Oryctolagus cuniculus: one gene and its partners. The protein of the gene in region 2 interacts with the protein of the main gene of each other region in a biochemical or structural test. Links are inferred from orthologs where the notes say so. Each region holds a gene or a part of one and is shown on either strand. Other genes may lie near its edges.

Region 1 (4,763 bases), on a different chromosome or scaffold from region 2:
CTCGGGGAGCACACAGGTGAGAGAGTATCACGGGGGGGGGGGGCGCCGCGGGCTCCCAACACAGGACACCGCCCTGGGCAGGCGGAAAGAGAGCCTAGATCACCGGGGCCTCGAACCCAGGGGGCGATCAGAGGTTTGTGGCATTTTTGATCTGGCTAAGGGCTGCAGGGTGGGTTGGCACAGGGAGAACGTGAGAGCAGAGACCGACAAAGGCTGCACACGTCCAGAGCCAACAGAGGCGTCTTGAACAAGGATCTGGGCGGTTGGAAGAACAAGTCAAGGCCAGAAACTCAGACCCTGTGGCTTCAGAAATTCGTTCCGGGGCCTGCGCTGTGGTGCAGCAGGTTAACGCCCTGACCTGAGGCACCGGCATCCCATTTGGGCGCCGGTTCTAGTCCCAGCTGCTCCTCTTCCAATCCAGCTCTCTGCTATGGCCTGGGATAGCAGTGGAGGATGGCTCCTGCGCCCACCTGAGAGGCCCGGAGGAAGCTCCTGGCTCCTGGCTTCAGATCAGTGCAGCTCCAGCCATTGCAGCCATCTGGGGAGTGAACCAGTGGATGGAAGACCTCTCTCTGTCTCTACCTCTCTCTGTAACTCTGCCTATCAAATAATAAATAGAATAAATCTGTTTAAGAAAGAAAGAGAGAGAGAGAGAGAGAGAGAGAGAAATTCGCTCCAAGAAACTGCGGGATGCCGCGGGCCACAGGAGTGCCTGGGCTCTGCTCCACCTTCCAGCTTCCTGCCGGGCACACGCTCCTTGGGCAGCTCACCTACCTGGGTCCCTGCCACCCAGACGGACGTCCAAGCTCCTGGGCCAGCCCTGGCTGTTGCAGGAATTTGGGTACAGAACCAGATGGAAGTCAGTATCTTTGTCTCTCTGCCTCTCAAAAATGAAAATCAATGATATTTTTTTTTTCAGTTAGCCCCAGCTCCATCATCTACCCGCTGCTCCCAATAATAATTAAACCCGTGTGAAGACAGGATTTTCACTGTTTGCTTTTTATATTAATCCAAAAGCATACATCGGTCTAAAAAAGGAGCCATGCAAGGAAAGGCTGAGTTCAAGCCCCCGTCCGCGAGGGTGAGACGGCCGCCCCTGCCCCTTTCTGTCTCCCACGTCGGGGCTTCCTCGGATGCTGGGGATGTGTGGACTCCCAGGGCAGCCGCAGGTCAGCTTCAGGCTGCCGAGAGCCATCCCGGCCGACGGTGCCCTGCAGGCACTGGCAGACCCGCGTCGGAAGCTGCACCTGCAGCCGCGGCTGCGCTGCGATCCGAGCAGCCGTTCGTTTAAAAACGAACCCGTAACAGTAGCACCACGACACGGATCGATGAAGCAAAGAAGTGACCTTGTTCAATGACAAAAAAGGGTGACAAGCAGCAAGGAGACAGGCAGCGGGGCCGGTGACCTCCAGCCGGGAGCGCCTTTCGGGGGGACCCGGGGGAGAGGCGCGGAGGTCGCAGGTGCACGGAAACCCGCCGCGGGCTCCCGACATAGGACACCGCCCCGGGCAGATGGAAACCAAAAGGGCAGCATGGCAGCGCGCGTTCAGCTAGGGGCCGGAGGGAGGAGACCCCCCAACAAGACAAAGGCTGCAGCCGCGGGAGGCCTAAAGTGCGCGTGCGCTACGGAGCGCGCGTGCGCGCGGCTGGCCGCGCCGCGGCCCAAGACGTGGGGGAGGGGACTCGGGAGAGGAGTGAGCCGGGGGCCGTGGGCGGGCCGCTCGCGCGCGCCCCCTGGCGGCCGGAGGAGAAGGCGCCCGCGGAGGCCTCGCGGCCCGCCCCGCCCCTGGGGTGGCTCGTGCCCCCGCGGCTCGCGCCTGCGCCTCCGGTCGGGCTCGGGGACGCGCCCCCTCGCCCGCGCGCGCGCGCTCGCAGCCACCGCCACCCACCGGCTCCGGCACCAGCAGCAGCGCCGCCGCCGCCGCTGCACACCGTCTGCACACCGCCAGCGCCGCCGCCTTCCCTCGGCTGCCCGCTGCAGTCCTCGCCGTCTGCCGACTACCAGGTAAGCGCCGGGACTCGGACACCCGCCTCCCGTGCGCTCCGCAAGCCGCCGCAGCCGGAGTTTAATGCCCACCTGCGGCGGGGGCTGGGGCCGGGCGGCGTGGACCGGGGCGCGTGTGTGTGCGTGCGCTTGTGTGGCTGGGGTCCCGGGCGGAGGCTGTGCCCGCAGGGTGGGGCGCGGATGGTGGCCTGGGGGAGGGGGCTGCGCTCTGTCCTCCATCGCAGCCTTTTGCCGCAATGGGCGTGTGTGTGTGTAGGGGGGAGTCCAATGACGACCCCCGAAACCGAACCTCAAATTCGACTTCTCTGCCGCTGTCTGCTGAGAACAAGACCCGGATCGGGTTCTCGAAAAGACGATGGCTCGCACACCTCCGTGCCCGCACCTCCCCGGCGGCGCCCTCCTCGCCGCCCCCTCCTCCGTCCGTTCCTCCTTCAGAAAGCCACAGGGGACATTTGGGGGCTGGGAGGAACCCGAGAGATGGGGAGGGGGCCAGGCGCTGTCATTCCAGCCGCCCTTCCCCCTGCGCGCGCCTGGCACGGGGACTTGGGCAGCGCCGCGCCCGAGGAGAGATGGTGCGTGGGTCCCCGCGGGGACGCCCTCCGAGGCAGGCGGCCCCGGGCCGTGCGACGTGGACGGACTGCGGGGCCGCGGCTCCCGGCTCGCGGGCGCGCACGGCCGCAGCCCTGCACAGCCGGGCGCGGGGGCTGCAGGTGCCTTTCGGGGCGGGTCCCTTTCTCTCGCTCTGCGCCGGGCGCTCCCTGCCGGAGGCGCGGGGCTGGCGCGCAGGGCTCGCCCCTCACTGCGGCAGTGGGTGTGGACCCGGGTGGGCGGCGGAGGGGGGAGCAGGCTGTGCCTCCTCCCACTCCCACCCCTCCCCCGTTTTTTCCCTGCCGAACGCGAGGTGCCATCTTTTTGCGGCTGTCACGTCTTTCTGTTCCCAAGCCGAGCCGGGTGGTCGGGCTCCGCGGAACGGGGCACGGACTGGCCTTGGGTGGGGGGACACCATCAGCCCCGAAATCGCGGCGTTTGGATGCTGCGGGAGTGAGCGCGGGGGTCGAGCACGCGGAATTTTCTTCGACAGCTCGCTGCTTTGTTCCTAGAGCTTACGTGATCCGTGCTCGCGGCCCCGTCTGGGGGTTTCTTCCATTCCACGAGGGCGTTCAGCCAAGACTCCTAGCCCCCTCGTTTCCCACCCTTTGTCGGCTCTTGGTGCTTGCCGGGGGTCCATGAGCCCTGGTCACGAGCCTCCGGGGCGCTGGTGGAACAGCCGCCACCCTTCCCGGAGGTCAGCCCCACGCGGGGGAAGCGCCCTCCCTGCCCAGGGGGGTGGGATTCGGGGTCTGGGCGCGCCGTGCACCTCCCGAGGCTGCCAGCGTCCTGGGGGACACGCCCGCGCGGCTGTCCGGCGATGGGGGCGCGCTCGCCGCCGGCGTCTCTCCCGGCTTTACGCCCTGTTGCTACGCCAGGCTGGAGAATGTCAAGAGGGGGCGTGAGGTTCCCTCGGGCGCCACCGCCACACCCATTTTTTTCCAGACCCACCGAGCTAGCTGAGTGGGGAGTTGCCATGGGAACCGCACGCGTCCGGTGACGGACCCTGGCGGCGTCGCCCCGCCCCCTCCCCGCGGAAATTGGGGACCCAGGGCGGGCCTCGAGATGCGCGCGCTGGGGAGTCCCCCGTCCCTGACCTGTGGCTCTTTCTAATTAGTCCCCGGCGGCCGCAGCCACCCAGACAGGCGTCCCGGATGTATTTTATTATCTTGGCTGGGCTAATTAATATTGCTAAGTGCGAGATTTTCACTTAAGAGTCGGAGTTCGTCGCCGCATTTGGCAGTGAGACGGGGGTATGCGGCCACCTCCCGGGTGATGGCTTTCCGCTTTATTCCAGCGCTGGAAACTGGTGTGGGCGTGGGGCTCCGAGAGCGATGAGCGTGGTCGGGCCAGCTCGTCCGCGCAGGCCTCTCGGGTTCCGCTCCTTGGAACAGCCTGGCTGGGGTGGAGCGCCCGCAGGAGCCGCCCCGGACTGAGTCAAGCATCCTTTTCCCCCAGCCCTTCGCCCCTCGGCAGCGCTGGGGCGGCCCGGGAAAGGGGGAGCCCTTTGCAGCCCCTGGGGAGGAGAGGGAGCCCGGCAGGCACAACACCTTTAGCCCGGTGCCATGGTCCGAGATTTCGCTCCGTTTTGGGGGGCTTAATGGTGTCACCCCAGGACCTTGAGGGAATGCGCAGCGCCCAGCCCCCGCGGTGGTGCCTAGGGACACTCACCCCCGCCCCCTAACGGCTCCAGCAGCGGGGGGCTCTTTTCCCTCCCGGGAGACCCCGCTTACCCCCTGGTACTCAGGAACCTGTAGCTCCAAGTCCTGGCCCAGTGCTGGCTCCCCCTTGGGACAGCGACACTGGCCGGCCCCTCCCCCACCCTGCCCCCTCCACGCCCATACTACGGTGGAAGAGAAATGTCTCTCCCGCTTGGCTGATTCTGAGCTGTGTTTTATGAATTTCCGGCCCCTCATCTCTAACCCTCCCTCTGAGTACAGAAAGAAATGTGTGGCTGGCTGGAGGGGGAGAGGAGGGAAAGCCCCCCCCCCCAGGTCCACAGCCACTCATGACGCTAATCCACCCCCTGGCGTTTGCCTCCGTAACAGGTGTGTTTGGGGCAGTAGCCTGGCTTGGCTTGGGGTTCACCTTGGATGATTTGGGAGGGTTTGTTGGCTTTGCTGGGTGTTGGTGAGTGACAGTCGGTGGCTTGTGTGTCCCTGCTGGCCCA
Region 2 (4,021 bases):
CCAGGCGGACAGATCTAGGGTCCCTGTGCTGTAGGAATGGGGGCCCTCCACTGAGGCAGCCTGTGCCCCTCCCCCCACAGGGACCTGGAACGGCACCACCAGGGTGGCCATCAAAACCCTGAAGCCTGGCACCATGTCCCCGGAGGCCTTCCTGCAGGAGGCACAGGTCATGAAGAAGCTGCGGCACGAGAAGCTGGTGCAGCTGTACGCCGTGGTGTCCGAGGAGCCCATCTACATCGTCACGGAGTACATGAGCAAGGGTGCGTCCCACCCCGGAGGGGAGCGCAAGCCAGTGGCCTTCCCATGGGCGTGGCTTCCAGAGGGCGGAGGCACCCCCAGCCCTGCAGGCTGAGCCACGTGGGGGCCCCCATGCCTGGCTTGCTCCTGGCTCCACTTTGCAGTTAACCAGCTGTTTCTCAAAGCTCCCACTTTGGCGGAGGTTTGATCAGACATCCCTGAGGAAGTTAGAGGCAGGGGAGAGAGGAGGGTACAGAGAGAGGTCTTCCATCCGCTGATTCACTCCCGAAATGGCCACAACAGCCGGGGCTGGGCCAGGCCAAAGCAGGAGCCAGGAGCTTCTTCCGGGTCTCCCATGCGGGTGCAGGGGCCCAAGCACTTGGGCCATCTTCTATTGCCCTCCGAGGCCATTAACAGAGAGCTGGATTGGAAGAGAAGCAGCCGGGATTCGAACGAGAGCCCAGGTGGGATGCCGGTGCCACAGGCGGAGACTTAGTCCACTACGCCACGGCGCCGGCCCCCAGTTCAGTGGGTTTTAACCAAGGGGTCCTCCGTGTAGCCTCTGCTGCAGTCAGGGTATGCCGCCAGCCGCAAACCCAGCAGCCACTGACCTGCTGTCTGTCTGTCACGGACACTGATTCTGTTTGCGTCAACTTTGCACGGGAGATTCTTCCTGGTCAGTGGAGCCTGCGCTCCTTCCTTTTCCACGGCCGGCCTGGAGCGTCCCCTTTGCACAGCCGTGCGCTGCTGCTTCCCAAGCTGCCCGTCTTTGGGCCTGCCGTGCCAGCAAGGGGCCTAGGGGTCCCTGTGTGCCGCCTGTGGGTGCAGAGGGCAGGGGCTGGAACAGGTCTCTCTCCACCAGGGAGCTTGCTGGACTTCCTCAAGGGAGAGACGGGCAAGTACCTCCGGCTGCCGCAGCTGGTGGACATGGCTGCGCAGGTGAGTTGGCCCCTGGCCCCTATACCCTTGGCCCTTAAACACCCAGCTGGTTCCAGCCTCTTGAGTGCCCCCTCTGGGAAGCCCACCTCAATTGCCCCCACATTCGGTGATCTTGCCATACCACTGGCATAGGAAGACCCTACTTGGAAGCTCCAGTTTTCTTCTTTGTTAAGGTCATTCAGTCACTCAGCAAACATTAGTCAACAACCATTGTTTCATATAATCCTTACAAAACTCGGGAGAGGAAGAGGTTGGCTGTTCCCATTCAATGGATGAGAAGTCTGAGCTGAGGGGACCCGGCAGCCACCAGGGGGACCCTGGTGAGGGGACCCACTCAACCACCAGAACTTGGCAGTCATCTGTGTCGGGGTCAGCGGGGGCCTCTTTCCCAGCTCCCTGGCCTGTGTCTTGTCTTGCGCCTCCCCTTTGCCCTTTGCCCTTGCACCTGCTGCTGAATGGGGCTCCTGCCTTTTGTGCCAGGGGCGTTTACTGTAAATTGACTTCCCTTGCCTGAAGCAGTAGGCAGGGCGGGGAGCAGGGCTGGCTGTCCCCCCCGGGGGCGGCCCCCACCCTGGACACGTGCCCGTGACCTTCTGCCTGCCCTCAGATTGCCTCAGGCATGGCGTACGTGGAGCGGATGAACTACGTGCACCGGGACCTCCGAGCCGCCAACATCCTGGTGGGGGAGAACCTGGTGTGCAAGGTGGCTGACTTCGGGCTGGCCCGGCTCATCGAAGACAACGAGTACACGGCCCGGCAAGGTGGGCAGGGTCCGGCCAGGTCCTTCCCTGCTCTGGGGGCCCCGCGGGGCGGTCGGGGCACCCCGAGGGGGCCTCCCTGAGCTTCCTCCCCGCCCTGCAGGTGCCAAGTTCCCCATCAAGTGGACAGCTCCGGAGGCTGCACTCTATGGCCGGTTCACCATCAAGTCAGACGTGTGGTCCTTTGGCATCCTGCTAACGGAGCTCACCACAAAGGGACGGGTGCCCTACCCCGGTGAGAAGCCCCTGGACCCCTCTGCCCTGGTGGCCTTGGGCAAGCCACATCCTTTCCTGGGCTTCAGTTTCCCCACCTGGAGGCCAAAGGGGTTGAGATCTCTACTTAGACTCCATGGTCAGGACTGTCAGCCTCAGGGCAGGACTTGGCCATGGTCCCGCCCATGTCCCAGGCAGGAAGCCCTCTTGCCCCCACCTCCGCCCCTCCCCGCTTCCCGCTCCCCTCCCCGGAGCCCGGCCCCTCATGCCCGCCCTGCCCACAGGGATGGTGAACCGCGAGGTGCTGGACCAGGTGGAGCGGGGCTACCGGATGCCCTGCCCGCCCGAGTGCCCCGAGTCCCTGCATGACCTCATGTGCCAATGCTGGCGGAAGGAGCCGGAGGAGCGGCCCACCTTCGAGTACCTGCAGGCCTTCCTGGAGGACTACTTCACGTCCACCGAGCCCCAGTACCAGCCTGGAGAGAACCTATAGGAGCGGGCAGGACCGGACTGGCTGCTCAGCTTGGCTCCTGGGCTGCGCCTGCCCGCCCTTGAGCCTCTCTGTGGGGCTGGCTCGCCCGGGACGAGGCCCCTCGCTCGCTCTTTGCTGGCCTGAGGCAGCCCACGGGGCCGGGCAGCGCTGCCTGGCACCTGCCCAGGCCGCCGGCCTCCCGCCTGCACTCACCCCTTGACTCTTCCGGCCTCTGCGGGAGGAGCCGAGCAGCAGGGCTGGGGTCTAAGGTGCCCCTTTTGGCCGCAGCCTCCTCCTTGCGTCTGGCTTCTTGTCCACGGCCCATGCAGCCCCAGGTCTGTCTCCAGAGCTGGCCAAAGAACCTTTCCAAAGAGGAGCGAGGGCCCTGGCTGAGCCCACCTGCCACCCTGCCCGTCGCCATCCGTTTCTGGTTCAGCTGTGGGTGGAGGCTGCCATGTCTGTGCCCGCCAGCTCTCCCAGGCTGGGCAGCCCGAGCCCTCCCCTCTGAGACCCACCCTTCTGAGACCCCAGGGACCCGTGGAGAGCAGCAGTTCCTTGCCCACCCCCGTGTTGCCCACGGGGAAACCACATCCCCAGCGGGGCTGGGACTTGCCCAAGGCCGCAGCAGTTTGTGCTGAGGTGGGATCGGCGCCCGGTGCTCCTCTGTCTTCCTCAGGAACCGACAGGCATCATGACCACAGCAGGGCAGCCCAGGGGCCGAGGGTGCGGCCCGAAGCCGCTGGAGACGGGAGTCGGGGCGGGGCGGGGGGAACATGGACGGCGCAGGTGTGGCGAGGCAGCTTCCGTCTGAGTGAGGCTGGTTTTGACCTTTGGAACCTGCGGCTGTGGACGGGAGTGAGCTCCCAGGCTCTGCAGGCAATCGACACCAGAGCCAAGAGGCTGGCAGCCTCCGGCCTCGAGGGACTCCCAGGCCCCCTTCCCTTACTTGTCCTGTGGCATTTCAGGGTCTGGCCTCTGTTCCTTACCCCAGGTTGGCACCCTGCTGGGTGGCCCTGGGTGCCTCCCGCCTGGGCTGTGTGACGGCTTCCTCTCTGGGCTGCAGTCTGCCCCACAGGTTACTGTGGCCTTGTGACGGGGCAGCCACGGTGAGCCCAGCCCTGGGACAGCAGGAGACCACGCTTTGGCCCCGGCGCTGCCGTCCGGCCTTAGGGTGCGTGGTGGCTTCCCCAGGGCCCATGTGTAAAAGAGGCGGCAGGCAGTTTGTGGCATCTTGCCGAGGGCCCCTCTGTGTGTGTGTATGTGTGCCCATGTGCCCGCGTGTGTGTGTATGTGTGTGTCTCCGTGTGTGTCGTATTTAACATGTAAAAACGCCCCTGCTCCGTCCCCCAGACCCGTCCTGCACCTCACCTGCGGCCCCGTCATAGCAATAACATTCCGCTGC
Region 3 (4,021 bases), on a different chromosome or scaffold from region 2:
TGTTCCTACCTTTCTCGCAGTAGGGCTCCCCGTCTTCCATGTGGAAGAGGCTGTTCCCAAAAGGCTTCTTGCATGCCGCACACACAAAGCAGGTGGTGTGCCATGTTTGCCGCAGGGCGTGCATCACTTCCTGGGGAAAGAGCCTGCGCTCAGGACAGAAAGGAGGGCCTCCCCCTCCAGGCCCTGGCCACCACCTGAGTCTCCCACGAGGGAGAGGACCTGGGCATGCTGAGAAAAGGCCCAGGGGCAGCAGAGGACTGGCCACGTGCCAGGTTCCATGCCTTCTCACAAAAGCTGTCATCCCTGGTCCTCCCATAAACCTCAGGCGAGAGGTCCAGCTTACTCCTGCCATTTGACCAAAGGGGCACGGAGGGGCAAGGCCGCATTCAGGTGAGTGGTGAGGTCAGGCCCATGAAGCAATAACTCGCTCTGCAGACATCTCACAAGCCATGTGGTGCAGGCATATAATCATCTCTTGCTTCAAGTTCATTTGATCCCTGGCTCTTTGGAGGCAGAACGACTCCCTTCTAAGGACAGAGCCCGAGTTGCTTTCTCTCTGTTCTTGGCCTCCTAATGGGAACTCACAATCCTGGGGGAGGAGGAGAAGCTGGTTGGGGGAGATGGGCAAAGATGAGGGTCAGAGTCGCTTACCCCCATGATCTTGGCATTGCACTTGGCGCAGAGTGGGGCAAAGAACTGCTCATAACACCGCTCACAGTAAACGTTGTTCTGCTCCTCCACAAAGCACACGTCTGCCAGGGAGGTCTTGCAGTAGGCACAGTTGAACTCCTCCGGGTGCCAGGAGCGGCCCATGGCTACGAGGAAAGGGCCCCTAGAGAAGCAGAGGGCAGCCGTGAACAAGGCAGCTCCAAACCCTGGGAGCAGGTATTTCAAGAACCCCAGCAGTGTTCACGCGTAACACCGAGTAACTCTGACATCGTGACTGTTCAGTGCAGTGCTGTGAGGGTCCGAGAAAGCTCCCTGCAGAAAAGCGTTCCCTGTTGCATCATAGGAAAGAGAACGAGGAAACAAGTCCCACCTGTCCATGGCAGGTGACGCATGAACATGCAGAGGATTAAGTCACCCCCTGCCAACGCTGGCATCCTTTATGAGCACCAGTTCCAATCCCACTAATGTGCCTGGGAAAGCAGTGGATGATGGCCCAAGCACTTGGGGCCTTGCCACCCATGTGGGAGACCCGGATGGAGATCCAGGCTCCTGGTTTCAGTGGCTCAGCCCTAGCCACTGAAGCCATTTGGGGAGTAAACCAGCAGATGGAAGATCTGTCTATATATAACTCTGCCTTTCAAATGAATAAATCTTAAAAAGAATGATGCTGACAGCTAACACTGATTACATGTTTATCTGTGCCAGGCACAATGCAAGAACTGTGCATTTGTTAACGTGTTTCACCCTCCCAACAACCCTAAGAAGTGGGTGCTATGATGGTGCCCATTTTCAGGCAAGGAAACTGAGACTCTGCATGGTTAAGTAGCTCATCCGAGGCCACAGGGCTGGTAAGTGGGGGACCCGGACACAAACCAGAGTCTAGTTGTAGGTCATGTAGTTGTAGGGATGGTGAGCAAATTTTTTGTATCCTCGCTTTTACTTTTCTGCATTGTCTATTTCTTCTTTAATGAGGATGTGCTACTTTCATTTTAAATAAACATATTTTCCGTGTACCTATGAGCTCATCACATACACACACACACACAGTATGCAAACAAGCACTGTCCACGACTGCTGGCTTCTAAGCATGAAGTGACTTGCTTTCATTCCAGTGTGGCTGATACCCACCAAGGCTCTGGGGCCACACAGGCCTATCTCCAAGAAAGACCCAGTAGCCACTCTAAAGGAAAGCTGGGTCAAAACCCATGGTGTCAGCCAGCTTGCAACATGTCCCATAAGCCTCCAGATTCCCAGCACCCGGCCTTAGCCCAAGGGGTAGCTCCTGGCATAGGTACCATACTGGAGTTTTCCCAACTGACCTCATGGGGCCCTCCCAACCCCGCAGGGACATGGGCCTCACGTGGGTGGCCTGACCCCTTAAGCTCAGAGAGGTCAGCCCAGACAGTGCAGGAGGGACATGCCTGCAGCTCCCTCCTGAATCCTGTACCTCCCCTCCCTCTCTGCCATGGGCGAGCATCCACACCCCTGCCTTCCCCACGTCACCCAGGACACAGCAGGACATACCGGATGATGCTGTTGCAGTGGCCACAGAGTGGAGTTCGGCTGCTGGCTGGGAAGCGCTCAGCCCTCTGGACGGTGCCCCTGGCGAGAGGGGACACCTGGGGCCCTGCCGGGGTGTAGGCTGGGGCCCCCCGTGGCAGGGTCTGCTTGCTGACAGTGGTAGTGGTCTTGCCAGGGGCGAACTTCTGAGAGAAGCTGTCATCTGTCACCCAGGGGGGCCGGCTGGTAGCTTCCGTGGGACCCCCACTGTAGGCCGCTGAGGGTGAAGGGTTATAGTTGGGGGCAGGTGAGGGGGTGTAGGTGGGTGCTGGGGAAGGGGAGTAGGTGGGGGCAGGGGAGGGGGTATAGGAAGGGGCAGGTGAAGGAGTGTAGGGGGCTGGACTGTAACTGGCTCCTGGCGACGGGCTGTAGGTAGGTGCAGGCACTGCAAACCAAAAAGACCAGAAGAAAAATGCATCAGGAATCCATACCCCCCACTTCTTCTTCCCCCAGATAGAGCTGCAAAGAGCAGTAGGATTCCAGTGTTTCAGGGAGACACGTCCCTGAACTTCTGGGTGTCCAGGGATGGGGAAGATCAGGTGCAGGCCTGCCCAGGGAGGAAGCGGGCTTGGAGGAAGGGAGGGGAGGCTGGGCGACGCAGCTATACACATCCATGTGGGCAGGGCTGCCTGCCCCCGGCCTGCAGGAGAGGGGAGTGGGTGGGAGTGGGAGTGGGTCAGTTCGGCCTTGACTGGAGGATGCTCTGCAGTCGCTCTCTGACCAGTGATTTGTCCCAGAAATGCATTTGCTGGGCCTGGATCTAGGCCAGATGTGGGGACCAAGCAGCTGGCCCCCCACAACTGGGGTTTCAGGTTCAGGTTTAGCTACCATCACTTTCTTGAATCATACAGGTTGACTCGATTTGCATGGGGTTGAGGGTGGGGGGGGGTTGTGGTGGTAGTGGTGCAGGTTCCATCTTGGTTTGATCAGGGAGCTAGCCTGGGTGGAGACACTGCGTCTGGGGGAACCCTGCTTCCCCATATCCCCTTGGTAGACACCGACAGTGTATCTGAGCGACCGCCTGAGGCTGCTGTGGAAGCCAGGGCTGGGTCCCTCCTGCTACTTGAGAGAGGAAGCTCTTTTGGGGATCCCAGGACAGAACGGGTGCTGCAGCCGCTAACCAGAGCCCTCTCAGATCTGGGTCCTCAAAACCCAACTTTCTGAACACTCTGCCGCCTCCCAGTGTGAGGCCAGCTGGGCAGACCCCGCTGCTCCCCCCACCCCGCTCATCACCCAGCCGGCCTCCTCCTCCATCGCAGCAGGTGCCAGCAGCCCCGCCCCAGCCCACAGCTTCCAAAGGAGCCCTCCTTCTCCCTCCCTGGGGAAGCACGGGGGCAGCTTCCCACCCCTGCCCCTTAGCCTGGCCTGGGCATGTGGACTGTGCCAAGGCAGCCCCTACTGGGCCTTCCTGAGGAGGAAAGCCCTTCTGCAGGGCTCAAGACCGCGGCCCTACCTGTCGTCTCCCTCTGGGTGACCCTTGGCCTGCTGCTCCAACTCTGTACTTTCTGTTCCTAGTTGACTCACGCTTCAGAGCTGGGAATCACGGGTCTGGGGGTGTGAAGGGGAAAAACCCTCCCCAGCCCTGCCCCGGAGCCACCCTAGGCCAGAGGTGAAACCTTCTCCCTAAGGAATCTTCCTCGCACTTACTAATGGGTGGGCTAGGCACATAATGGATCGTCTGAGTCAGTCCTCACATTATCCCCTTCACCTGTGAGGTCACTGGGGCTCAGAGCCAGGAAGGGGCAGCCTGGGACTCTCCAAGCATTCTCTCCAGCTCCCAGCTGCCCCTGTA
Region 4 (4,663 bases), on a different chromosome or scaffold from region 2:
TTTCTCACTCAGCTCCCTGCTAATGTGCCTGTGAAAGCAGCAGAGGATGGCCCAAGTGGTTGGGCCCCTACCACCCATGTGGGAGACCTGGAAGTTCCTGGCTCCTGGCCCAGCTCTAGCTGTTGCAGGCATTTGGGGAGTGAACCAGCAGATGGACGATCAATCTCTCTTCCCTCAATCCTCTGTTTCTCCCCCTCTGTCTCTGTAACTCTGCCTTTTACATAAACAAATAAATAAAAATCCTTAAAAAAAAAAAAAAAGGTAATGACAACCTATGGTGTAGGTACTTTCCTCTTCCTATGTCATAGATGAGGAAACAGATCCAGAGAGGTTCAGGAAGTAGCCTAGGGTCACACCGCCCAGTGGGCAGAGCGGCTGGGAAGTAGACTGAGTCAGGACCTGGCTCTCATCCACCAGGCTGCGCAGTCACCTTGAGGGTATCTTCCAAGCAAGAACATTTGAATACAAAATTACCAAGTCGGAATTATGCTCTCTAGTTAGATCAGGATGCCAAGGCTCAGAGAGGTTAGGGAACTCTCCCAAGGCTGCACAGCTGATCCTGGACCAGAACCTGGATTCAAACTTGGGGTGTCTCACTTCAGTTCCCGGGAGCTTTCACGTGAATGTGACTGCGTCTGTTGCCTGCGGTGATGGCCAAGGGGAGAGAGTGGCTAGGACGCTGCCCAGTATCAGCTTCTACAGCAAAGCTACGGGAAACGAGAGCATGTCCACTCTGGTCAGGAGGAGGCCCCTGGTGGCCTTCACGACCACTGTCCTCTGGTCAGGGGCTGGCAGAAGCCACCTAGGGCGAGCAAGTAGAGATGTGGGGGCAGTGATGAGAAGTGGAGGGGTAACTGAGGAAATACTAGGGTCAAGACAGAAAAGAGGAAGTGTCTTCAGAGACGGAGGGAGGAGAGAATTGATAAAGCTCAGAGGCAGAAGTGGGACACAGAACACTTCCACTTATTCACTACTTACTGAGCAGCTATTATGTGCTCCGCACAAGAGATCACCAAAGAGCCAAGATCCAGTGCAACTAACAGTGTAAGGAGGGAGATAACAAACTCTGTAAACAGATAAATAAAATGAGAGTTGTGATAAGAGTCCAGGAAACTGGACAGAGAGATAGTGATGAACAAGTTGGGACCAACTCTAGGCAGGAGTGGTTAGAGGAAGACTGAGTAAGATGGGAGTGGTGAGGCGGAAGTAGCTGTGCCAAAGCCAGGTGGAGAGAGGGAGCTGGCACATGCCAAGACCAAGGGCTGGGACGTGGCCTGGCTGGAATTCAGTAGGCAGCAGGGAGGGCCTTGCAGGGATGAGATAAAGGAAAACCCCTTCCCCTAAGCTCCCTGGGAAGCCCCGGAGGAACAGAATGGCATGGTGTGAATGCTGCTTAGGCAGTAGGGAATGACACAGCCTTGCCAACAGTGAAGAGGGAGGGCTGTTGATCAGCTGGGGAGAAAGAGAGAGGCTTGCAAGAGGATGCCTGCGGAGCAAGTCCCTGCTCTTCCCGGTGCTGTCAGTGAGAGGAGCCAGGCAGCCCTGTTGCTGAGCCCCGTGAAGGACCCCTTGCCTGTATGTTGTCACCTTTGGTCACCACCATGCCTCACCACCCACCTATCAGCCCAGAGGCCTTCTCTGCCATGCCACGTTTTTGTGTTTTGTTTATTTGAAAGGCAGAGCAACACAAAGACACACACACATAGAGCGATCTTCCGTCTGCTGGTTCACTCCCCAGATGCCAGCAATAGTCGAGGCTGGGTCAGGCCAAGGTCAGGAACCTGGAACTCCATCTGGGTCTCTCATGTGGGTGGCAGAGACCCAAGTGCTTGAGTGACCACCTGCTGCCTCCTCAGGTGCACAGAAGCCATGGAAGCTTCCATGGGAAGCAGAGGCAGGACTTGATCCCAGATGCTACAATACGGGATGTGGGTGTCGCAAGCCACAGCTTAACCTTCAGTGCCCTAAAGCCCACCCCAACCGCGCCTTTTTTTTAATTTTTAATTTGTTTATTTGGAAGGCAGAAATACAGAGAAGGAGGGGGAGAGAGAGAGAGAGAGAGAGATCTTCCATCACCAGTTCATTCCCCAAGTGTCTACAACAGTCAGGTCTGGGCCAGGCTGAAACTGAGAGCCAGGAGCTTCATCCTGGTCTCTCACATGAGTGCAGGGGCCCAAGCACTTGGGCCATCCTCTGCTGCTTTCCCAGGCACATTAGCAGGGAGCGGGATCAGAAGTGGAGCAGCTGGGACTCAAACCTGTGGATGCCGGCACTGCAGGTGGAGGCTTAACCTTCTATGCCACAGCACTGGCCCTGCAGTGTTTAAAAAAAAAAAAAAAAAAAAAAAAAAGGAAAGAAAGGCAGAGTGATGGGGTAGGAACAGAGACCTTCCATCTGCTGGTTACCCCCCAAATGCCTGAAATAGCCAGGACAGGGCCAGCTGAAGCTGGGAGCCAAGTTATTCAACCCAGGTCTCCCAAAGGCTGGCAGGGATCCAGCTGTTTGAGCCATCACCTGCTGCCTCCCAGGGCCTGCATTCGCAGGTTATTAGAATCAGGAGTGCAGCTGAGCGTGGAAGGCGGGCATTCTGATATGGGAGGCACATGTGTTCACTGTGCGGCCAAAGGCCAGCCCCAGGCCTTTTCTTTCTAAGCCTTAGTTTCCACAGTCATAAAATGAGAATTAGAACGCCTATGTCCTTGATCAAATGACAATCTCTGCGTAAAATGCTCAGTACAGTTCCTAGAACATAGTGATTAATAAAGGTTAATTATTTCATTTATAAGGAAGTGGGCTAGTAAATGGATACATTGCAGTTCAAGGTGGGGAAACACCTGCTGACGGCAGCCGAGAGGCAGACTGCCTGGGAGCACCGGGAAAGCCCAGAGGCGGCGATGCTGGAACCGCGCCTTCAAGAATGAGAGAGTTTTCAGCGAGGGAGCGAGGAAATGGAAGAGACATGGTGGGAGGGAAGAAAACCCACAGGGGCTGAAGTGGCGGGTGGTGCTGGCACGCCCTGGGGAAGGTGATCAGGGCAGGGCGGGAGTTCAGGTGGTGTGGGATGAGCCTGGACAAAGGGCTTCAGGTGAGAATACAGGATTTAGGAGTCGAATCGAGAGGACAAGGGGCATCAGCCCAGCTCCTGCCGCATGCCTGGCACTGAGTTAGGAGGTTGGTGCTTTTTTTTGAAGGAACTTGGATTTTTACCCTATGGATCACGGAGAACAGAAGAGATTTTGAGGCAGATGGCGACAGGGCTGAGTATTTATTCATATAACTTTTAGGATGATGCTCCTGGTAGCCAAGGGGAGATCGGGATGGAGTAAGGAGACAGTAGGGAAGCGGCCAGGCTTCGGCTCAAGAGGGAGAAGCTGCAGCGTTCAGCCGGTGGGGATTGGGGTCAGTCGGAGGCTGCAGAGGGTTTTTGTCCCTTTATCAGGCAGGCTCAGAGGTAGATTTCAGGGGAGAACGGTGGCGAGGGCAGTGAGGGGAGTGAACGCTCCTGAGGGGTCAGGGGTCACAGCTTACCAGGATGGAACAAAGCTGTGGCTCTGACCCACCTGGTGCACCTCCGGGTATCGCTGGGATTGGGCCCTCGTTGTCAGCGATGAAGGTGACCTGTTGTGAGAAAGGAGAGGAGAGTGTGTGAGCACCTTCCAAGCAGTAAATCACTGAGCAAATATCAGACCCTCTGCCACCAGGGAGGCCGTGAACTGCAAGGGGCCACACAGCTGGGATGGACTTTAGGGGAGGTGGCCATGGTGAAGATAAAGAGTGATCCATGACCCGTACATGCACTCTGTTTACAAACAGGCAATCCCACACTTCCGGGATCTACAGGACACCCCGAGACAGCTGTCCCAGCACCCCGACACTGACGGTTGCCTTATGGGTTCCCTCACCTCTCACTTGGATTTAAGGGCGCACCAGAAGTCTGAACCTGGAGTCTTGGGGGAACCATGTGAATTGCTGAGTATTTCTGGGGCTGGAATCCGTATTCTCCACCAAACTCTGAGATCCACTCCCCTTCAAAGGTTAAGAGACACTGATTTTTTTTCTCACCAAAAATTAAGAACAGCTATCCTTGGGGAAGACTGAATGAGGCAGGAGGGGGAGATTTTTCATTTAAAAATTTCTGGGAGGGGGGTCTGCCTCTCTTGGAGCCCCCCTCTTGGCTGCTGCATCCGGAGGTTTCTGACTTCAATAAATCTTGTTTTAAAATAAATATTTTGAGGGGCCAGTCCTGAGGCATTGCCGGTAAACCTGCTGCCTTCAGTGCCGGCATCCCGAATGGGAACTGGTTTGAGTCTCAGCTTCTCCACTTCTGATCCAGCTCCTTGCTAATGCTCCTGGGAAAGCAGTGGAAGCTGGCCCCAGGGCTTGGGTCCTTGTATTCAAGTGAGAGACTTGGAAGAAGCTCATGGTTCCTGATTTCAGATCCATCCAGCTCCAGTGGTTGTGGCCATTTGGGGAGTGAACCAGGGGATGGAAGATCTTGCTCTGCTCTCTCTCTGTAACTTTCAAATAAGTCTCTTAAAATTTTTCTGAATTGTTTGAATTTTTAAACCATGAACATGGATTAGTTTCACTGAGAAAAGTGTTATTAGAAGTTACGTGGGTGGTTGAGATAATGGGCCCTTTTTATATTTTATCTTATCTCGTT
Region 5 (4,021 bases), on a different chromosome or scaffold from region 2:
CCAAAGGCAGGCCATTTAAAAAATGCTAAGACGGGGCCGGAATTGTGGCACAGTGGGCAAATCTGCAGCCTGCAATGCTGGCATCCTGTGTGATCATTGGTTCAAGTCCTGGCTACTCCAGCTCTGATCTAGTTACCTGTTAATGGCCTGGGAAAAGCAGTGGAAGATGGTCCAAGTGCTTGGGCTCCTGCCACCCATGTCGGGGACCTGGAAGAAGCTCCTGGCTTTGGCCTGGCCTAGCATCAGCCACTGTGGCCACTGGGGAGTGAACAAATGGATGAAAGATTTCTCTCTCTTTAAAATAAAAATAAACCAATCTTTAAAAGAAAAAAACAAAGTAAGACTGTCCAAAATTAACACTTAAAATTTTAGCAGGACTGTAGCACCTGACTATGGTTAAAGTGCCAAAGATCTACAATTCCATTCTTAATGCAACACAGGAATCCCAAGACCCTTCTAAAGCTAGAAATAAGAACAATGCTCTTACAATTATGTTACTACTAGTGGTCATTTATATCCTATTTCTGGCTATTTCCATTATTTTTACCTTGGAACAGGTGGAGGGGGAGGTGCAGCTCCCCGGCCCCTCACTGGCACCCCTCGTCCACGAGAGGGCTCAGGTACTCCATTCAAGTAGGACAGCTCTAGAAATTGCTCCTGGCAGATATCATCCATCATATCCTGGGAATGAAAGATAACAAAGGGTACTGTACAACACTGTCACTTTTTACCGTGAAGTCATCTGGCCCACGTGAGTCTTGGATGCTAGGAACAGCTTGGAAAGGCCAGATAAAGGCTCAGATCACTGACTCTCTGAAGCTGAAGAGCACCCTGCCTGTCACTTCTTTGAAGAAAGCCTTGGTGTTAGACCCGCCATTATTCAGGTGGGGCTCTTCAGGACGTGGTCCCTACCATCCGCTCTCCTCTCAAGCCACACTCAACATTTTGTAGGTCAGAACCTGGCACCCACTCTCATACATCCATCCTTGGCAAATAATTTCCTTTCCCTGGAATAATAAAAGCCACTACCATTAATGGAGCTCTATGAACAAGGCACTACATAATAAGCTTTATATAGATTTTTCAGTTTAATTTTCAAAATGACCCTGAAGTAAGCAAGCAGATCTCTATTTTTACAGTTGGGAAAATAGATTCAAGGAGTATACATCAACCGGACCAAGGGAATGGAGCTTAAAGTGGCAGATTCCAAATGTGAATTCGGTATTAGCTTTCTCCAAAATTTAGACTTTGAATCAACAGACTATACCCCCCCCTTTTTTTTAATATCTACCTGAGGGACTCTTAACTCTTACAAGAGTTCCTAAAATAGTAAAACAGTACTACTATTGACAAACTTTCTCTTGATACCAACTCCATATCTGCTCTTTCCTAAAACACCACATAATTCTTTCTACCTAATAAGCACTTACCACATCATTTTATACCATGTTTATCTTCTCTTACTAGACTGTGAGCTCTTCCAGGAGCCACTTTTGTAACGTCGGAGGCAGCACAGTATTAGGCATCTACCAGATATTTAACAAGTGTTTGGGACAAACAGGAACCTGAGGCTCAGAAAAATGAAAAGATAACTTGTTTCAGACAGAGCTCCCAGCCCAGTGCTCCTCCTAAGGTACACAAAGCCTCATGGCAGAATTAATGGCTCTAAAACGAAAGTGGATATTCCGGCAGGGATGCAAATACAGGCACACTGTTTTTCCTTTACTAGAGGAAGAACAGTCAAATGCCAGACCTTTCCTATTAAGAGCTATTCTGTCTTAATACGTCATGCATTTCTAAGTATCTTAGGTGATTATGGCTTTAGAAGAGTCCAGTCATTAGAAAGATGCTTCCCTCAACTTTTCACTTACTCCTGCTCACTTACTCCTCATTATTGCTTGAAACTCCCATTGGAGAACAAAATAACCAATGCTAGCCCATCGTTCAGATTTCATACTGGAATCCTTGGAGTTCAGCATTATGGGTAAATACCGCTCTACCAATTCTCCTCTCCTCTGACACATTTAGTTCCAACTCCTTCATTTTACAGTCAAGAAAACCAAGGCCTGTACCTCATTTCCTGCTAGTTTTAGTATGAAAAACATGACATTTATTCAACTGTAGCTGAATATTATTCCAAGTCTTTACTAAGTTCCAGATTAATCTTTGATATTAAAATGTGTAACAATCGTATGGTGGTAACTCTAACAACCACTAGGCCTTGCTAAAAGGCAAACATAGTAGCACTTCCCACTTAGAAGTGATAACAAGCAAGACAGATGCCTAGCCTGTTCTAACTCTTCCTAGGCCGCAGCGACAGCCTGAAAGGACCTGTGCATCAATCTATTTAATGTTACAGTCAACGGAGTAACAATCACGCCTCTTCCAAATTAAACTCTAAACGCAACTCCCTGAGACACTCATGAGGACAGTCAAGTCAACTGAATCCATTACTATCAAATACTATACATTTCTGCTGTCACAGCCTCCAGACTCTAATCTACAACATAACTTTGGAGGTAGTCACCTTAGTCAATTTCCTAGTACAACCTCCAGGCTCCACGCTGGTACCAGAGTATTTAGCTTATGAAGACTGTTAACCAGACTGTAGAATGCAGAAACACTGTGGACTCAGAATACCGACAACGGATACTGTACACAATAAGAACCACATTACATAAGAGGAACAGACTAGCCTTGGGGGACAGTGCTTTGAGAACAAGGTATGAGTAATGGACCCTACACGCATATGCAGAATGTGGCACACAACTTCAGCAATGCTCTGCAATCCTAGTTAAAAACTTCTGCCTTTACAACAGCTGAGAGCCCACTTCTCCCTTGCTCAGAAGATACAGGCTATAGATTTCCTTACTGGTACTAGAAACTTCTTGACTTCCTCCATGGCATGGGCCATGAGAGCATAAGCCTCACATGGAGGTCCAAAGACTTCAATGAAGACATGCAGATCCATGTTCAAGTGGGCATATTTAGGGTCTCCACCTTTGCGCAGCTCTTCCTCCTGTGGATAAATGCACAGAAACATCACATCATGTGGACTAGGCCAAAGGGCCAATAAGAAATGAGGGCACTGTACATGGAAGTAGCTTAACCTGCTGTGCCACAATGCCAGCCCCAAAGAGCGAGTTTTTCAACTGTCGCGGGTACGTTGCATCTGAAAAGTTGACCACAGAAGGCTAAGACTATTTTGTTCTGATGGGAAGTTTCCTGGCACTTACAAAGAACACACAGTGTCTGGGCTACGGCATGTAAAAACGACCAGAAGCCTTACTTCTGGGTTACTCAGGATTTCTTGGGAATACCTTTTTTAGTGGGTCTCACATTCCAGGTGGCTATAAAACAAAACAACCGATCTTCAAACTCATCCCCATGCATAACACTACTCTCATTTTTCACATTACTGAAAAAGGAGTATTCATTCACACGTTACTCTCTTTAGCCAGGCTAAGTTTAATACACCTAAAGTTGCCCGGCTCCCCTTTCAAGTTTTCACAGGTAAGTTTACTAAAGCCAAAGATGCTATTGTTTCCATTATTACACAATAAAACGGGGAAAAAAATCAAACACAGGCTCTTCCAGGACTGTCAATCAAGTCAGTTAATTTAGTCTGTTATCTCTTGCATCCAATGAAAACAGAGTCACATATATACAGTCACTGTATATACACGAATTGCTTGCTTCTGTAAGGCATTCCACACTTAACCCTGAGCAAGTAGAACACACTAGGGCATCCTCTTGCCTCACTAATGTGAGCTTACCTTGGCTTTGTCTCTCATTGAACCCTTTCCCAACACAGAGATCTTTGCACCAGTCTCTTCCTGCAGCCTTTTTATTGTATTTCCTTGTGGTCCAAGAATCTTTCCAACAAAATTGAACTGACAGAAATAAAAGAGATTTCTAAATACATATGCTCCTATAAAAATTTCCACATATATTTGTGCTCTGCATTGATTTTCAACAACCCTGTAAAATAGGTAGAGTATTACCACTCCCAGTTTACTGA
Region 6 (2,722 bases), on a different chromosome or scaffold from region 2:
AAGGTGCACCAGTCTTGATCTGGAAGGAGACAACAAAGGTCAGGCTAGTTGCAGTGGATGCGGGATCTACGTGACTATCGGGCAAGCAGAGGGCACCATGGCAGAGACGGGAGTTTGTTAAGGAGGCCCTGGGCCCTGGGAAGCAGGGAAAGCTGGGGCAACCGTCAAGCACAGTAGCTACACGCGGACACGAGGAGAAAGTCACAGACACGACTCCCACTCCTGAGAAGCGGCCCCCTCCCCACCGGGCCTTCCCAGGAAGCTGAGGACAGAGAGGAGCCACCCCTTACCTGCCCGGTGCACAGCCCCACCACCAGGTCAGCAATGAAGGTGTCCTCGGTCTCCCCAGAACGATGAGACACCATGACGCCCCAGCCGTTGGACTGGGCCAGCTTGCACCTGGAAGCAGAGACAACCCCAGGACATGACCTCATTTCCTGGCACCATGACCAAAGGCCTGGGCACAGCCGGAAGGGCTCCCTGGCCGTGGTTCCAACACTGGGCTCAGCCTCCTGCGGGCAGAGACGACTGACAGAACCCTCCTGGCACTCATCCACTGATTCCTCCATCAGATGTTCAGGCCATAAAGGAGCCAGGATCAGCCCACCACTCAACACCCTGGCCCTCATGTGACCACTGCCCTGGAGGGGCCGGCGCTGTGGTATAGCGGGTAAAGCTGCCACCTGCAGTGCTGGCATCCCATATGGGCACCGGTTCAACTCCCGGCTGCTCCACTTCTGATCCACCTCTCTATGGCCTGGGAAAGCAGTGCAAGTTGGCCCAAGTCCTCAGGCCCCTGCACCCGCATGGGAGACCCAGAAGGTGGTCCTGGGGCTATTGGCTTCCAATGGGCTCAGCTCCAGCTGTTACAGCCACTTGGAGAGTGAACCATTGGATAGAAGGCCTCTCTTTAACTATGCCTTTCAAATAATCTATCCTGGTTGTCCCTCTTCCAGTCCAGCTCTCTGCTGTGGCCCAGGAAGGCAGTGGAGGATGGCCCAAGTGCTTGGGCCCTGCATCCGCATGGGAGACCAGGAGGAAGCACCTGGCTCCTGGCTTTGGATTGGTGCAGTGCACTGGCCACAGCGCGCTGGCTGTAGCGGCCATTTGGGGAGGTGAACCAACGGAAGGAAGACCTTTCTCTCTGTCTCTCACTGTCTAACTCTGCCTGTCACAAAATAAAAAATAAAAGCTCCCTGGAGTTCCCACGCGAGGCAGCAGGAATCACAGCTCTAGCTGGGGGTCACCCCCTGGGGCAGACACTCACGCCTGCAGGGACTCGGTCACGGAGCCGATCTGGTTGACCTTGAGCAGGAGGCAGTTGCAGGACTTCTGGTCCACGGCCTTGGCAATCCGCTTGGGGTTGGTCACCGTGAGATCGTCCCCTACCACCTGGATGCCTGCGCTAGCCGTGAACTTCTGCCAAGCTTCCCAGTCATCCTGGTCAAAGGGGTCTTCGATGGACACCACTGGGGAAAGGAGACGCATCTCGTGAGAGCACGCCTGGTCCCCGGGCCTCGCCACGCCTCTCCCACAGCTGTGGACAGCGGCCGCAGGCGGGGGCTGCCACGGGGCACTCACCTGGGTAGTCCCTGACGAAGGACTTGTACAGGTCGGCCAGCTGGTCGGGGGTGATGTACCTGCTGGCATCATCAGGAGACTTGAAGTCCAGGTCATACTTGCCAGACCTGAAGAACTCAGAGGCGGCCACGTCCATGCCGATGACCACCTTGTCAGTGTAGCCAGCCTTCGCGATGGCGTTCTTCAGCAGCTCCAGGGCTGGGAAGAGACGGGGCGCGGGTGAACAGGCGGGTCGCTGCCTCTGGGCCCTGGTGCCCCAGAAAGTGGGAAAGTCAGCACTGACTCAGAGCGCAGCCTTTCTCACCGACCGGTGCTCCCAGATTTAGCGCCTGGAACAGCTGTGCCGGCCAAGATACAGTTACAGTGAGCGGCTGACATCAGCTGTCCTGAGGACAAGGTTTAAATAGAGCAAAGGCTGGGATTCCAGAGAGCCCTGGACAGTCAGCTCCACGCCCAGGCTGCACGGCCAGGAATGCAGGCCCGGGCCGCCGCGCTGGCGTCAGATGCATCAAACACCCGAGCTGCATGGCTACACCAGGGGCACGGCCACTCTGCCCGTCAACAACGGTGAGCAAGCAACCTGCTAGGATTGGGCCAAAAAGCAGGATAAGTAATTCCTTCCTTTTACTAGTTTGCCTTAAAAGCCATAGAAATATGCTCACAAACTTCTTATTCTTTAAATATATTTATATTCGACACATAAATAAGTATGTGTTTATGGGACGTGTTACCTTTCTAAAACAACTCAGCAGTGACTGATTCTTTTTTTTTTTTTTTTGACAGGCAGAGTGGACAGTGAGAGAGAGAGAGAGAGACAGAGAGAAAAGTCTTCCTTTGCCGCTGGTTCACCCTCCAATGGCCGCCGCACCGCGCTGATCCGATGGCAGGAGCCAGGTGCTTTTCCTGGTCTCCCATGGGGGTGCAGGGCCCAAGCACTTGGGCCATCCTCCACTGCACTCCCGGGCCACAGCAGAGAGCTGGCCCGGAAGAGGGGCAACCGGGACAGAATCCGGCGCCCTGACTGGGACTAGAACCCGGTGTGCCGATGCCGCAAGGCGGAGGATTAGCCTGTTGAGCCACGGCGCTGGCCATGTGACTGATTCTTGATCTAAGACACCTTCCACACAATCCTCACATTTAA
Region 7 (4,667 bases), about 34 Mb from region 2:
GTACTGACACGTACAATGAGCCCTGTGATCCCTCACCCGCACACCTGGGCCCCTCAGTGGATGGCCACTAGGTAGAGGAGGGAGGGGAAGGTACTTAGGGAGCAAGTGCTTAGCTCCCAGCAGGCCCCAATCCGCCCCTGCCCCCACCCACAAGCATCTTGCCATCTGGGGTTGAGAAGCAGCCCCTGCCACTCACACCACCTGTAGCGGCTGGGGACCCTGGGGGCCTGGTGGGAGGGGGGAGGAGACAGACCAGCAACCAGCCAGATGGGCAGGGGACAGAGTCTTCAGGGCTCCCCAGGGGCAGCAGGCCACACCCCCTCTGAACTCCCCAGGGCTCCTGTGTCACCCTGCACCTGCACGACCTGCTGCTGGCCCCAGCGTCTAGCCAGCTCCCGGCACAGGGCAGAGCTGCAGCGCTGGGTGGGGGAGACAGCATCCGCCTACGACCAGGCCGCTGGGGTTTGAACCACACTGGGATGACCTGGAGCCTCAGTTTTCTGCTCCTCATCTGTAAGGGAAGAGAATGGTACCCATTTGATAGGGTTGTTATGGCGACCAGATGAGATCACACATGGGGCGGGGGCAGCCCCAGGGATGCGCTCAGTGCAGACAGGGGGAAGCCTGCGGAGGCGGCCGCAGGGACAGCGCATCACCCGCCCGTCGCCCACGTGCTGCCGCCCTGTGGTGGCTGGCCCCTCCTCGCACACCAGACGTGGCCTTCCACTTCCTCCTCTCACTTCTTATTTGGGCACCCCTGACGCCAGACGGCTGGGCACTGCCTGCCTCTCCAGCAGCCCAGCAGCCATGGCAACAATCAGCCCGGGGTGGCGGTGGGGTGTCCCTAACGCAGGGTCCGAGGAAGGCTGAGCGCGAGCCAACCCCACAGCACGTGGCTGGCAAAGGGCTTATGCAATAGGGCCCATCGGGGACCCGGGAGGAGACAGCCCAGAACGCAGGCTACGGCGCTCAGGTTTCCCCCCCTCACTTGCTTCTCCTCTGGCGTGGGAAGAGGCGGCCGCCTCTTTGGACAATTCTGGGGTACCTAAGAAAAGACGAAGGCATGGGTCCGCTCTCCCTTGGGGCTTCTGCGTAGGCGCAGTTTAGAGGCGTCCCCCCACCCACCCAATTTCTGCCCTTCCCAGCCCCAATGCTTCGCTCCCCTGGCATCAGGTCTCCTGCGGTGCCCTGGATCTCTGTGGAGCCCCAAACTTCCTTACAGTGGCCCGTGCTGTGCCAGCCCCCCCCCCACGCCAACACTCAGAAGACTGCTCCAGTCACCCACCCTCAAGCTTCGAATCTCCCGCCAACCTCCCTCACAGGCCCCCGTTGAGGGATCACGCAGACCTCCGCGTCGAAACGCCCGCGCATAGCCCCGGGGCTCCCCGCGATCCCCGCACCCCGGCCGTCGAAGGCGGGGGGCGGGTCCCGGGCGCGAGGGGAGGGGCGAGGACCCTCCCCGCCCCCCGGGACCCGCCCCGCGCCCGGAGCCTATAAAGGCAGGCGGCCAGGGGCCCGCCCGCGGGTCTCCGTGAGCCGCCGGCGGCGCCGCCGAGAGCTGCAAGCGCCGACTGCCCGGGGCTTCCCGGCGCGGAGACATGACCCTCCGCCGGCTCAGGAAGCTGCAGCAGAAAGAGGAGGCGGCGGCAGCCCCGGACCCCGGCGCCCGGGCCCCCGCCACGACGCCGGCCTCGGGTCCCCCTGCTGCCGCCGCCAGCCCTGGGCCGCCCGCGGAAGAGCTGTACGCGGCGCTGGAGGACTACCACCCCGCCGAGCTGTACCGCGCGCTCGCCGTGTCCGGGGGTACCCTGCCCCGCCGTAAGGTGCGTCCGCGGCGCCCCCACCTGTGCCTGCCGACCCCCGCCTCCTCCCATCCCTGTGGGGTGCAGTCCCTACCGCCCCCGTTTTGGTGGCTCTTCGCCCCTCCCTCCCTGAACCCCCCCCAGCACCCGCTCCGTCTGGCTTCCGGCCCCCCATGTCCCGTCTCTCCCTGTCCGGGTGTCTCGAAGCCCCCAGGACACCCTCGCCATGGACAAGTTGAGGGTCCCAGGTCCCCGGGTGGGGAGCTAGCGGGTGGCCGCGCCGCGGCGTGTGTGGGCGCCGCCGACTCTGGAGATCAGCCCTCTTACGAGGGGAGTCCCAGCCTCCCGGCCTGGCCCGCGCCGACACCGTGCAGTGCGCGAGCTTCGGCTGCTGCCTGGACTTCGGCGCCACCGGACGCGGCGGGAGGGGTCGCAGGGCGCCCGCGGGGCAGGAAGGATGCGGCCGCGCCCGCCCTTGGCGTCTCCCCCTACCCTTGGAGCCGGGCTTCCTCTGGCCCGAGGGGACCCGAGGCCCAGGTTAGGGAGAGGGGTGGTGGCCTTTCCCTACTCAGCCCCCTCCTTCCCCTGGCTCCGACCCCCCCCCCCCATACAATGAACAGCTTGTTGGAAATTTGCATTTTATGAAAATCGGGTTGAAAGACAAAAGGGTCTCTCTCTGCTGCCTAGCCTTCCTCCCCAGCCCATTTGGGAAGGTCCCCACCCCAGGCTGGAGAAAGAGGGCCTCTTTGCCTGGCCTTGGGGCGGCCCTGACCAGGAAAGGCCCAGGCGCCAAGTAGGGGCTGGTCTGGGCCAGGCTTCCTCCTAAGACCAAAACATCGGGCAGAAGCTGGGACTTCCAGCCCTGGCAGCCCTCCCCCAACGACAGCCCCCGAGCTCCCTTGCTGAGTGTAGTGGAGACTTACAAGTTAGAACGCCTAAGATCATTTTGTTCAAATACTTGGTAATGTGGAGAGACCAGGTGTCGCAGGGTGCAGCTGGCCCTTGAAGTGACATGTGCTTGCTCTTCCACAGGGAATAGCTGCCCCCCCCAGGCCATGGGGAGAGAGGCCTTGTGCGCAGAGGGTCCCCCACCCCTGGAGATAGCCCCTGCCTGCCTCAGTTTTCAAAGTCTGCAAGACCTGAGTGCCACCTCCCCCCCCAGACGTGGTCCTGGGAGTAGAGAACATTCTAGAGTACTGACTCCATTCCTCACCAGCCTGGGAACCAGCAGGGAGCTTAGGGGGCCCTGTGCCTGGGAGCCCTGGAGGACTGTTGTCCCAAAGGCCGTGGGATGGGGTCGAAGCCTGGGGAGCCAGGTAAGGGGGTGACCCTAAGAGTGATGCCAGCGCCCCAGCATGGATGGCGTTGGGAAGGGACAGACAGGCCACGGGAAGAGGGGTGTGGTGTGCAGGGCTGCAGCCCAGGTGGAGCGCCGTGCAGAGACCAGGGCTCCAGGCAAGGACCACCCCACTCACCTGCTCCTTCCTGTCTTTCCCGCTCAGGGCTCAGGATTCCACTGGAAGACTCTCACCCAGAGTCCCGAACAACATCGGTGAGTCACCCCACCCCAGCACCCTCGCCCCCCAGGACTGCAGCAGGGGCTGGGGCGGGGGGGGGGGGTTGTGTGGAGGTGGGGGCACAGCGCTGTGCGCCAGGGGGCGTTCTCCCTCCCTTCAAGCCTGGCTTCCCCACCCTGGGAGTGAGGGGCAGGTGGGGGTGTGGGCTGTGTTAAGGGGGTGTCAGAGAGAGGAGGTGGGGACTTCTGAGTCATTAGGTGCTCCTCAGCCACCCCCAGGCCCTGCCAGTTACGCCTCCCTGGAGAGATGTAGATGGGTGGGGGGGCGGGGGCTGCCCTAACCCAGGTCTCTGAGCCCACACCGTAGCTGAGCCATGTGCACGTGCTTGGGCCCGACTAAGCCTGCCTCTGGCCTGTAGGCCTGCGCTGTTCCCAGCGGGCCCAGCTCTCTTAGGAAAGACACGAGGTGTGCGCAGAGGTTTCTTTTCTCTGCTGCGGGTCGTCTCTGGCTCCCTCTCCAGTGGTTCAACACAAGGCTGCCAGACTCGCCCCTTGGGAGGCGAGAAGTGTTTCCGTACTTTTAAAGAGTGGCAGCATAAGAGAGAGCCTGAGATATTTACCTGCCCTCCAGTCCCCACCCCCACCCTGCCGGCCGTTTGCAGAGAGAGATCACCAATCTGGGGTCCCCTGCTCCTCTGTACCCACAGCAGAAAGAGTGCCCGGGCCTCCCCTTGGAAGTGGGGGTGCTGCTCAGCCCTCGAAGGGGTGTCCCCGCGCCAGGCCTGTGAGACGCAGAGGGGCCTCGGGCCAGGCGGGAAGGAAGGGGCTGGGGGAGGGGTGGGTAGAGGAAACTCCGGGCTCCCCAGCAGGCAGGCCAGGACCTGGAGTGGCTCCAGATCATTGTGTCCAGTGGGCAGGCCTGCAGTGCGGGAAGGGGCGGCCTTGCGGCTCCCCTCCCCCAGCCCTCACATCTGGTGGGCTGGCCCCACCGCAGCTGGGAGGAGCAGCTGTGGTCTCTGAGCTGAGCCTGAGCCTCGTGACTGGGCGGGGCGGGGCAGTCCCTGCCCAAAGCTGTGGAGCTGAAGAGGCTCCCAGTGGGGACTGAGTTTAGGGGCCTCGGCCAGTAGCTAAGCCAGGCCGCCAGGAAGCTGGGGTGCGATTGTAAGCCTGAGCCGGCCACCCCTGGCCTCCCACCCCCAGCTCTGGGCGGCTCCCTGAGGATGTGGAAGGAAGTTCCCGCAGGCCCTGAACGGGACAAGGTGTCTGTCCGTCTGTCCGTGGAGCCTGGGCGCCCTGTCTTGGGGTGGGGGTGGGGCTGGGAATCCTCAGCATCTCGCCTCCCCGTGTCT

The links.
Region 1: the proteins of SRC (region 2) and MAPT form a complex in vitro, tested with the Homo sapiens proteins (3 studies listed by BioGRID and IntAct, with this or other methods). The link is inferred for Oryctolagus cuniculus from reciprocal best matches to the Homo sapiens genes SRC and MAPT.
Region 3: the proteins of SRC (region 2) and LDB3 interact in a test that uses a peptide from one of them, tested with the Homo sapiens proteins (2 studies listed by IntAct, with this or other methods). The link is inferred for Oryctolagus cuniculus from reciprocal best matches to the Homo sapiens genes SRC and LDB3.
Region 4: the proteins of SRC (region 2) and STAT3 form a complex in vitro, tested with the Homo sapiens proteins (3 studies listed by BioGRID). The link is inferred for Oryctolagus cuniculus from reciprocal best matches to the Homo sapiens genes SRC and STAT3.
Region 5: the proteins of SRC (region 2) and KHDRBS1 form a complex in vitro, tested with the Homo sapiens proteins (8 studies listed by BioGRID, with this or other methods). The link is inferred for Oryctolagus cuniculus from reciprocal best matches to the Homo sapiens genes SRC and KHDRBS1.
Region 6: of the proteins of SRC (region 2) and ENO1, one has a biochemical effect on the other in vitro, tested with the Homo sapiens proteins (4 studies listed by BioGRID). The link is inferred for Oryctolagus cuniculus from reciprocal best matches to the Homo sapiens genes SRC and ENO1.
Region 7: of the proteins of SRC (region 2) and TAMALIN, one has a biochemical effect on the other in vitro, tested with the Homo sapiens proteins (2 studies listed by BioGRID and IntAct, with this or other methods). The link is inferred for Oryctolagus cuniculus from reciprocal best matches to the Homo sapiens genes SRC and TAMALIN.

Annotation. Positions count from the first base shown.
Region 1 is NC_091448.1:17,309,943-17,314,705, reverse strand, and holds the start of MAPT (microtubule-associated protein tau), read left to right. Parts: upstream 1-1,830; 5' UTR 1,831-2,005; intron 2,006-4,763. UniProt on the Homo sapiens protein: Promotes microtubule assembly and stability, and might be involved in the establishment and maintenance of neuronal polarity.
Region 2 is NC_091442.1:21,170,273-21,174,293, reverse strand, and holds part of SRC (proto-oncogene tyrosine-protein kinase Src), read left to right. Parts: intron 1-80; coding exon 81-260; intron 261-1,099; coding exon 1,100-1,176; intron 1,177-1,783; coding exon 1,784-1,937; intron 1,938-2,037; coding exon 2,038-2,169; intron 2,170-2,431; coding exon 2,432-2,640; 3' UTR 2,641-4,021. UniProt on the Homo sapiens protein: Non-receptor protein tyrosine kinase which is activated following engagement of many different classes of cellular receptors including immune response receptors, integrins and other adhesion receptors, receptor protein tyrosine kinases, G protein-coupled receptors as well as cytokine receptors.
Region 3 is NC_091446.1:78,050,334-78,054,354, reverse strand, and holds part of LDB3 (LIM domain-binding protein 3), read right to left. Parts: intron 2,615-4,021; coding exon 2,194-2,614; intron 833-2,193; coding exon 652-832; intron 131-651; coding exon 10-130; intron 1-9. UniProt on the Homo sapiens protein: May function as an adapter in striated muscle to couple protein kinase C-mediated signaling via its LIM domains to the cytoskeleton.
Region 4 is NC_091448.1:20,437,252-20,441,914, forward strand, and holds the start of STAT3 (signal transducer and activator of transcription 3), read left to right. Parts: upstream 1-1,512; 5' UTR 1,513-1,557; intron 1,558-2,178; exon of another isoform or gene 2,179-2,313; intron 2,314-3,240; exon of another isoform or gene 3,241-3,411; intron 3,412-3,560; exon of another isoform or gene 3,561-3,618; intron 3,619-3,909; exon of another isoform or gene 3,910-4,026; intron 4,027-4,663. UniProt on the Homo sapiens protein: Signal transducer and transcription activator that mediates cellular responses to interleukins, KITLG/SCF, LEP and other growth factors. Once activated, recruits coactivators, such as NCOA1 or MED1, to the promoter region of the target gene.
Region 5 is NC_091438.1:140,396,379-140,400,399, forward strand, and holds part of KHDRBS1 (KH domain-containing, RNA-binding, signal transduction-associated protein 1), read right to left. Parts: intron 3,894-4,021; coding exon 3,777-3,893; intron 3,020-3,776; coding exon 2,873-3,019; intron 682-2,872; coding exon 548-681; intron 1-547. UniProt on the Homo sapiens protein: Recruited and tyrosine phosphorylated by several receptor systems, for example the T-cell, leptin and insulin receptors. Once phosphorylated, functions as an adapter protein in signal transduction cascades by binding to SH2 and SH3 domain-containing proteins.
Region 6 is NC_091438.1:158,998,612-159,001,333, reverse strand, and holds part of ENO1 (alpha-enolase), read right to left. Parts: intron 1,780-2,722; coding exon 1,582-1,779; intron 1,470-1,581; coding exon 1,268-1,469; intron 400-1,267; coding exon 291-399; intron 20-290; coding exon 1-19. UniProt on the Homo sapiens protein: Glycolytic enzyme the catalyzes the conversion of 2-phosphoglycerate to phosphoenolpyruvate. In addition to glycolysis, involved in various processes such as growth control, hypoxia tolerance and allergic responses.
Region 7 is NC_091442.1:55,328,922-55,333,588, forward strand, and holds the start of TAMALIN (protein TAMALIN), read left to right. Parts: upstream 1-1,504; 5' UTR 1,505-1,598; coding exon 1,599-1,823; intron 1,824-3,304; coding exon 3,305-3,354; intron 3,355-4,667. UniProt on the Homo sapiens protein: Plays a role in intracellular trafficking and contributes to the macromolecular organization of group 1 metabotropic glutamate receptors (mGluRs) at synapses.